Linked DNA regions of Arabidopsis thaliana. Each later gene encodes a partner of the first gene's protein in a complex. Each region holds a gene or a part of one and is shown on either strand. Other genes may lie near its edges.

Region 1 (5,152 bases):
ACCGAAGAGCACAACAGTAGAAATGCCCCTTCCAACAAGTCAGAACACGCCGAGCCAAGTTCAAATACCACTGAATTCTCTAAACTTATGGTTTGTGTGTGTCTTCATGGTCTTGTTGAGACTCAATTATCTTAAGCTGTCATGTTAGTTTATATGCTTTTGTGATTGAGTTGAAGGTTAAACTATGCAGGAAGGCGTTGTTTTTGTACTTTCGGGCTTTGTTAATCCTGAGAGGAGTACACTGAGGTCACAAGCCTTGACAATGGGAGCCACCTATCAACCTGACTGGAACGCTGGCTCTACCTTGTTGATTTGTGCTTTTCCTAACACTCCAAAGTTCCGTCAAGTTGAAACAAATGGTGGAACAATTATCTCAAAGGTTACCTCTTTGACTCTTCTTATAAGGGATTGTGTGCGGATTTGAATTTCTCCTTTTTGCTGATATTTTATATGATTTCACTGTCTCCAGGAGTGGATAACTGAGTGTTATGCGCAGAAGAAGTTGGTAGATATCGAGCAATACCTTATGCATGCTGGAAAACCATGGAGGAAAAGCAGTAGTCCCCAAGATGCTAATCGAGGTAAAAAGAATTATATTGGAAAGGCTTTAGATAGAATCTCCGTTTTAACCATCCTGAGGTTCATCAAATCACCTTGTTTTTACGTTTATGACAAGAGAAAAGCTTTTCTTATTGCACTGCTTCACTCCGATGTTTAGTTGACTCTGTGAACCTTAATTGATTGTATTCAGAAAAGAGAGAACACCTGTCTAAAAAACCAGAGAAGCAAGTAGAGAAAAAAACAGAAACAAGGGGAACACCATCTACCTCATCCAAGGCATGTTTAAATCTGATGATTTGGTTAACCAAAACGAACCGTATTTTGCTCCAATCAATGGTCTATGACTGTTTATTTCCATATGTTCACAGAATAGATCAGCTTGCAATCTTGTGAAAGAGCCATTTTTTGTTACAGAGGTGAAGAAATGGGCCAGGGATGACCTAAGTCAAACCATCTCATGGCTTGAGAGTCAGGAGGAAAAAGTAAGGGAATTAATATGCTCTTTCAAAAGACATGTTTTCTTGATTGTATGTTTCCGTTATTCTAAAGCCATTGTAACAGCCAGAACCAGGCGAAATCAAGCGAATAGCTGCGGAAGGAGTCTTAACCTGCTTACAAGACGCCATAGATTCTCTTGAACAGAAGCAGGTTAATATCTCTGAAGTCTGAACAATAATAGTTGCCGCCTGTGTACATTTTTGGATTTGTTAAACTTTGATCAGTTTCTTTGAGAAGATCATTGGTTGAATTTATTCTCGAATGTTCTTAATTTTAGGACATTGGATCAGTTACAGAGCTATGGAGCTTTGTCCCTCGTGTAGTGAAGGAGCTTGGAAAGATGGAATCGTCTTCTAAAAAGGAAAATTCAACAGCATCAAAGGAAGAAGTTTGCAAACAAGCAAAGTCGTGGAAAAAGATCTACGAAGCTGAGCTAGCAAAACCGGGCGAAGATGAATCGACCTCTCGGGTTGCTTGTGGCTATGACAGTGATATGACCGTTGAGATGACTGAAGAAGAGATCGAACTTGCTTATAGGAACGTTTCTTTAGAGTGTCTTTAGATCAAACTTGTTTCATTTTGCATATGATCTCTTAAGGAATTCCAAGAATTCTTGTTATACTCGGTTTGTTCGGTTTGAGTAGGATGTTATTACTGATAAAAATTTGAAATAATCCGGTCTGCTTGGTTCGGAAAGAATGTTTCTAATTAGAATTTATTTATGCTGGTTTGGATTCGATTGAGAGATGTAATCGGTTGCAATTAATAAGTCGGTTTGATTTGATACTTTTTAGTGTCGATTGACGATGAATTTGATCGGTTAATACAAATTTGATTTGGTCAATTAGGTTCAGATGTCTCCAGTTTTGAACCGGTTTGGTTCTATCCAATTTAATAACCGTTTTGTAATATCAGACAAACGAATTGAAACCGGAAACATGTACCGATATGGTTAGGATCGAAGAAGATTGATTGAAGACAAGACCCTAATTTATTTATACCCTTATTGGGTTTTGTCTTGTGAGAGTTGTGCCTTTCTTTGTTTCGCAGTAGGGTTGAAGCGGATAGTACGCCACCTCTATCTCTCTCTCACCCTATCGAACTCGCGAAGAACATCTTCTTCTTCTTCTTCTCCGTCTTCGTCTTCGCGAGCTCTCTCAGTAGCGCAATAAAATGGGGGCTTCGCTTCCTCCTAAGGAGGCCAACCTCTTCAAGCTCATCGTCGTATGTTCCGATTCCCTCTCTTTCTTTCTCAGTTTTTACTTTGTCTTAAACATGCGATGTGATGTTCCTGGTCAGCAGAAATTGGAATACGATGAGTTTTATCTGCTCTATTAAACCCTAAATTAAGTTAATCGTCAATGTGTTGGGTCAATAGAAAAATTCGTTGACATATGAAGTAAACTGTGCGGAGTTGTGGTTCCTTAATGTGTTAATTTGATGTACCAAGTTCTTAGCTTCAGTTACTTTTGACTATCGGCTATTATTAGACCTCGATTGCTTCTGGGCTTTTTTAGTCGCTCAGGGATTCGTAGTTTACTTTGAAGAACTTGAAAACCAAGCTTTATCAATATATATATGGTTTCAGCATAGATTTTGGGTTTAACCATTATATTGTTCAACCTGCTTTGAATAGTTGACCTTTTTCTTTATGTAATTTTCGCAAGTAAGTACATCATATATAGTTATTCTGAGTAATCTTATAATGCAGAAATCATATGAGACTAAGCAGTACAAGAAGGGACTCAAGGCAGCTGATGCCATATTAAAAAAGTTTCCTGATCATGGAGGTCAGTTTGTCTTTTATCTAATATCTCCTTCTATTCCTTTGTGATTTAGTGCTAATCTTTTTACTGCTATCTAAATACTTACAACTCTATACTACATACATCAACCGAGATCTCATGACTTGTAGGTCTACTAGGCGCTTCGTTGTCTTGTCTATAGTCTTAAGAATCAATCACTGTTAGAATTTTTATTTTCTTTCTTCCTATTAGAGCAAATAAATTAACTTTTTAGTACAAGGGTAATGCTTGGTATTGTTTAGTTTTGTTAGTAGAGACCAGTTCTGTTTCGTGTTAAACGCAGTTCTTGCTTTTTTTGATTTGTCAACCCTTTTCGTTATTCTTTTCTTTCTTTTAAAACTTGTCGCTCTTATTGTTTGTGATTTTCAGAGACTTTATCGATGAAAGGACTGACTCTAAACTGTATGGACCGCAAAACTGAAGCATATGAGCTTGTTCGACTTGGAGTGAAGGTTTGAATATGCTCTTCAATAATCACAACTTTATTCCTTAGTTTCCAAAATGGTATTTTGTTTTCAGGGTAACATAGGATTTATATACTTCAAATTTTTTCATGCAGAATGATATCAAAAGCCATGTTTGCTGGCATGTGCTTGGTCTTTTGTACCGGTCAGACAGAGAGTATAGAGAAGCAATCAAATGCTACCGAAATGCTCTTAGAATAGATCCTGATAACCTTGAAATACTCAGAGACCTCTCACTTCTGCAGGTAATTATGAGAAAAACTAGATTGAGGTGAATTTATTAGGTGTGCCAGTTATTCTCAAAGCTGATTTTTCATACTTTTTATCACTTTACTTTGTGTAAAGCTTGTTCCAATTTTAATCTCTTTTGATGCTTTCAATAGTTAATCATATTGGTTACTTTCTTTTTCCTAGGCACAAATGCGGGACTTATCCGGTTTTGTGGAGACCAGGCAGCAGCTTTTGACATTGAAGCCTAATCACCGAATGAACTGGATTGGCTTTGCAGTCTCTCAGCATTTAAACGCAAAGTATGTTATTGTCCTTGACCCCATAAATCTAAATATGTTAAACCACTTTACTCATTTGAATGGAATGCTAGTTTTTCCTCTTTGGACTATTGGCTAGCTGGTTAATGGCATATGATTTGGAATTATAGTCTTGAACACTTTAAGGAGTAGATAGTGGATGCCTATGTTGGTACGAATCTTGCATCAGATTTTTAGGAAATAATATACCAATGAACATACAGTAGAATTTTCTGTGAACATCTTTTCTTTACTAGTAAAAGCTAGCCATGTATATCAACCTTGATCTCTTAACTTGTTCTATTTTCTCCTGAAACCAGTGCTTCTAAAGCTGTTGAAATTTTGGAAGCGTATGAAGGCACCTTAGAGGATGACTATCCTCCTGAGAACGAGCTAATTGAACACACAGAAATGATTCTATACAAGGTATCAACCAGAAACTTTACAACTATCATATATTGACTGTTGTCTTTCTAAGTTTTTTTCCCTGAAAAATCATGCTTGCCTAAACGGGTTTCACACATTTTTCTCCTATTGACGAAAATACCAAAAGTACAAGTTGGTTGATACAAAATATGGCTTACTGCTTGTATCATACATTTTGTGAATCACACCTGTATTCTTTTGTGACAAAAGCATAACTCTCTCAAGTATAATTGGATATGAACCCTGGAAAGTCTCTCCAAGCCACCTGGAGTGGTGGTGTTCTGTTCACTCTTTCCCCCTGAAACTTCCCTGTTTGAGCAACCTACAGTTGGCATTAGCACATTTTTCATAGCTGTAGCTGCAGGAAATCTCATCTGGATTTTTTTTTCGTTTCAGGTTTCCTTGCTTGAGGAGAGTGGTTCTTTTGACAAAGCTCTTGAGGAGTTGCACAAAAAAGAGCCGAAAATAGTAAGTTCACAAAACTGATGGTTGAATGTATTTGGATAATAGGATGCACACATAATAGTAGATTTAACATTCCTCGTTTGCTTGTTTGTAGGTTGATAAGTTGTCTTACAAAGAACAAGAGGTATCTCTCTTGTCAAAGGTTGGTCGTCTAGAAGAAGCCAATAAACTCTACAGGGTTTTACTTTCCATGAACCCTGACAATTACAGGTTTTTTCCTTGCACTTCAAAGTAGCTCTAAAGAAATTATCTGTGTATTTTTTCGTTTTTCTCAATTGTCACATCTGTTTGCCCTGCTTCATTATCTTTGGCATTGGCGGTCTATACCTTTGCTACTCTCAAAGGCTTCTATATATTTTTGGTACTGTCAATTTTTTGTAAACAAATAAAAAGTGCATTCCTTGCT
Region 2 (3,879 bases), on another chromosome or scaffold:
AGAGTTCTTCAGCTTCTAAAGCAGAGGTGAGAATCATTCATTCTTGTCTCATATATCTTGAAATTGTTTTTTTGAAAATCTGATTGCTGTTTAGAACCTCCAGGAGGATTGTGCAGAGGTGGATATTTTAAAGGATCAACTTTCAAAGCTTCAAGAGAAACATTTGTATGGAAACTAAATAAATCTCACTATGCTTGTTCATTACTTTATTCTTCTCTACTTTGTGTTTGTTTTTAGTGTTTGGCTTTGTGTGTTCTGTTCTGTTGTAGACAACTGCAGGGCAAGGGCTTGAATCCTCTGACCTTTAAAGAGCTGCAAAGCCTTGAGCAGCAACTATATCATGCATTGATTACTGTCAGAGAGCGAAAGGTAACTAGTAATATCACTCTTCCATCATCATTTCTCTTTGCATTGTCCTGATTATGGTTATCTGATTTCAGGAACGATTGCTGACTAACCAACTTGAAGAATCACGCCTCAAGGTAAACACTAGCTTTTCCTCTCTAGCTTCCAAATGTAAGCTTATGTGTAATCACATGATTCTGAACCTTGTTAAAACCAGTGGCTATCCTTTGACAAGCTCATGCTCTAACTAGCTAGTGTGCAGTTTATTTGTCTTAAGACTCCTATATAACTAGGTACAGAGTGCAAAAGTATAATTCGTTTCTTGATTAGCCATATATATACTTTGCAGGAACAACGAGCAGAGTTGGAAAACGAGACCTTGCGTAGACAGGTTCTTATTATTTTTGTTGAATCATCTCCTAATGAACGCTTCTTCCTCTGACTTGTAATTACTTGTTGAAACAGGTTCAAGAACTGAGGAGCTTTCTCCCGTCGTTCACCCACTATGTTCCATCCTACATCAAATGCTTTGCTATAGATCCAAAGAACGCTCTCATAAACCACGACAGTAAATGCAGCCTCCAGAACACCGATTCAGACACAACTTTGCAATTAGGGTATTGCTCTTTTAAGTCTATTTGCTGTCATTGGTTGCATTATTGGAAAGCTGATTTAAGATAAATATAAGTCTTTTTCCTCCTCTGTTAGTTATGCATATGCCTTAACACTCACTAACTGGAGTTATAAAATTCTTACTACTTGTGTTTTCTCCAAGGTTGCCGGGAGAGGCACATGATAGAAGGACGAATGAAGGAGAAAGAGAGAGCCCGTCAAGCGATTCAGTGACAACAAACACGAGCAGCGAAACTGCAGAAAGAGGGGATCAGTCTAGTTTAGCAAATTCTCCACCTGAAGCCAAAAGACAAAGGTTCTCTGTTTAGTCCTAGAAAAGTATGGGAGAAGGCTACTAATGTTTCCTCTTTAGCAAGTATCCGATTGTTTTAAAAGTAATTTTAGAGGGATACTTGCAAAAAGAAGAGAAGATTCAGTTATCTAATCTCTGCACCAACTCTCTTTGTCCTTCTTCTTTTGATTATTTCTCGACTGTCTCTCCTATAAAAAAGATATGCCTAGCTGAGAGTTTGAAATCCATAATCTTTACAAGGCACAGAGTTATTTGACATCTCGTATAGTAAGAAAATTTGCGGAGAAATAAGCTTATAGAAAGTGAAGGTTATCGGAATCTTCCTACTCCATTACAATCAAGGCCCAATTGGACCTCAAATCCTAAACTGAAAAAGTTTATAATGAATTTCATTAAATGCCCCTAAAATATAAGCAAAAGTTTCAATAAAGACCTCATATTTCTCTATAATTACAATTCGTCCCCAGATTAATAAAGCCCAAAGGCATTAGACCGAAAACCCTAACCCCTCTTTATCCGCGCGAGAGCAATTGAGCAGCCATGGTTTGCATCAGGCGAGCGACGGTGGATGATCTGCTGGCGATGCAAGCCTGCAATCTCATGTGTCTTCCTGAGAACTACCAGATGAAGTACTACCTCTACCATATCCTCTCATGGCCTCAGCTTCTCTACGTCGCCGAGGACTACAATGGTCGCATCGTTGGCTATGTCTTGGCTAAGATGGAGGAAGAGAGCAACGAGTGCCACGGCCACATCACTTCTCTCGCCGTTCTTCGTACCCATCGCAAGCTCGGTCTCGCCACTAAGCTCATGACCGCCGCTCAAGCTGCCATGGAACAGGTTACTCCTCTAATCTTCAAATTTCGTATATCTTTGCATTCAATTAAGCAGATTCATTGAATTGATATAGAGTTTCGTGTTGAATAATTGGATGATATAGAAGAATTTGTGTGGTTTGAGTTTATGTTGAAGATTGATATAATGGTGTAAGTTAAAGGATTTTATTGAAAGTTAGAAACTTTGTGTGTCAAAGTGATTGTTGCAATTGTCATTGGAATTTGAAGTAACTTAAGCTCTGTAGATTGTATAAAGAGATTAAGTTTTGTCTCCGGTCGTGTTATGCTTTTGACTGACGGAGACGAGTAGTTTCTGATTGCCTGTGAAACTAATAATAGCAGACCTCAAAGGTTGATAGTTGTTTTCACTCTCGAACTTGGACTTTTTAAATTCATTCTCGGTCGGGGTTTTGTGGCAGGTTTACGAGGCTGAGTATGTTTCGTTGCATGTGAGGAGAAGTAACCGAGCAGCATTCAATCTATACACTGAGACATTAGGCTACAAGATTAATGATGTAGAAGCAAAGTACTACGCCGATGGGGAGGATGCTTATGACATGCGGAAGAATCTCAAGGGGAAGCAGAACCATCACCACGCCCACGGTCATCATCATCACCATGGAGGAGGATGTTGTTCTGGTGATGCAAAAGTTGTAGAAACAGCTCAAGCCGTAGATGGTAAAGCAGTTTCCAAATGAGATTCGAAAGCAGATAATTATGAGTATATTGAGGTGGGTTCACTGGCTCGCTCTAGTACTTCTCACTATTTCCATTCATATGATTCCGAGTGACAAATACATTTGGTGACCACTCTGTGTTACTCCTTTGTCTTTCTTTGGTTGTATTGAAAATTTAGCCGTTCCTTTTTTTGATGTATCATTTTGGAAATTCCAAGCTTTCATTAAGGCTTTACAACTTAAGCTGGAAATCTTCTATTTGCAAGATAGCAGATCTCTATTGGCAATATAGTACATTTAATTACAAGAAAAATAATCTTGGCTTGTACAGTTTTCCCTTTCAACTTAAAGTTCCTGTGTTCTTTGTATTCGAATATTTTGAAGTACTAGTTTGTGCAGCGTCAAAGCTTTCCTGTAGCCATCTGATCTGGGAATTGAGACCAGCATCACGCAGAGCATTCAAAGCTGAGGAATAAAGCCTAGCATCAAGCCTGGTTCCTTCAACTTTCATGTCCTGCAACAGCCTCATTAGCTCATCAATCCTACTGGTTTTGGAGAATACACCGACCATGATTCCTGCCATGGCCCTATCAATCTTTCCTCTGTTCATCCTAAACTCCTGGTAAAGCTCCACACATCTCTCCAACTCTTTTGATCTGTTATATGCACTGATCATACTAGTGTAACTCACCTTGTCCGGCAACACCTTCGCCCTCTTCATCTCTTTCCATATCTTTTCAGCCCTCCTTAAGTCCATAGCCCTTCCATGCATATCAATCAAGGAATTGTAAATCCAAATGTTGGGTTTACACCCTCTTTGTTTCATCTTAGCCATGAGTCTCACTGCATCGCTTAGTCTCCGTGTTTTCCCATACATATCCATTATGTTTGAGTATGCAACAACACACTTATCAAACCCCTTCTTCACCATCTCATCAAACAACATCTCAGCCTTATTGTACTTCTCAAGCCGACAGTATGCATTGATGGCTATTGCATAAGTCACTTGCCCAGCCTCACATTCTTCCTTCATAGCCCATTCATAAACCTTAACTGCTTCAGCAAAGCCTCTTTGCTTACTGAATCCATTCACAAT

The links.
Region 2: EMB2753 (region 1) and AT5G13780 share a complex: the UniProt entries of both Arabidopsis thaliana proteins name them as parts of the natA complex.

Annotation. Positions count from the first base shown.
Region 1 is NC_003070.9:30,231,913-30,237,064, reverse strand, and holds the start of EMB2753 (tetratricopeptide repeat (TPR)-containing protein), read left to right. Parts: upstream 1-2,079; 5' UTR 2,080-2,232; coding exon 2,233-2,283; intron 2,284-2,770; coding exon 2,771-2,849; intron 2,850-3,233; coding exon 3,234-3,316; intron 3,317-3,423; coding exon 3,424-3,573; intron 3,574-3,742; coding exon 3,743-3,858; intron 3,859-4,175; coding exon 4,176-4,281; intron 4,282-4,677; coding exon 4,678-4,749; intron 4,750-4,840; coding exon 4,841-4,956; intron 4,957-5,152. Other genes in the region: ATXRCC1 (BRCT domain-containing DNA repair protein), read left to right, coding at 1-90, 191-379, 470-581, 752-837, 930-1,043, 1,123-1,209, 1,337-1,621. UniProt on the Arabidopsis thaliana protein: Auxiliary subunit of the NatA N-alpha-acetyltransferase complex. Required for male gametocyte development, embryogenesis, suspensor development and the formation of the quiescent center (QC) in the root meristem.
Region 2 is NC_003076.8:4,446,535-4,450,413, reverse strand, and holds AT5G13780 (Acyl-CoA N-acyltransferases (NAT) superfamily protein), read left to right. Parts: upstream 1-1,738; 5' UTR 1,739-1,810; coding exon 1,811-2,110; intron 2,111-2,525; coding exon 2,526-2,804; 3' UTR 2,805-3,123; downstream 3,124-3,879. Other genes in the region: AGL15 (AGAMOUS-like 15), read left to right, coding at 1-26, 95-165, 270-369, 441-482, 695-736, 811-962, 1,121-1,286; AT5G13770 (Pentatricopeptide repeat (PPR-like) superfamily protein), read right to left, coding at 3,124-3,879. UniProt on the Arabidopsis thaliana protein: Catalytic subunit of the NatA N-alpha-acetyltransferase complex. Required for male gametocyte development, embryogenesis, suspensor development and the formation of the quiescent center (QC) in the root meristem.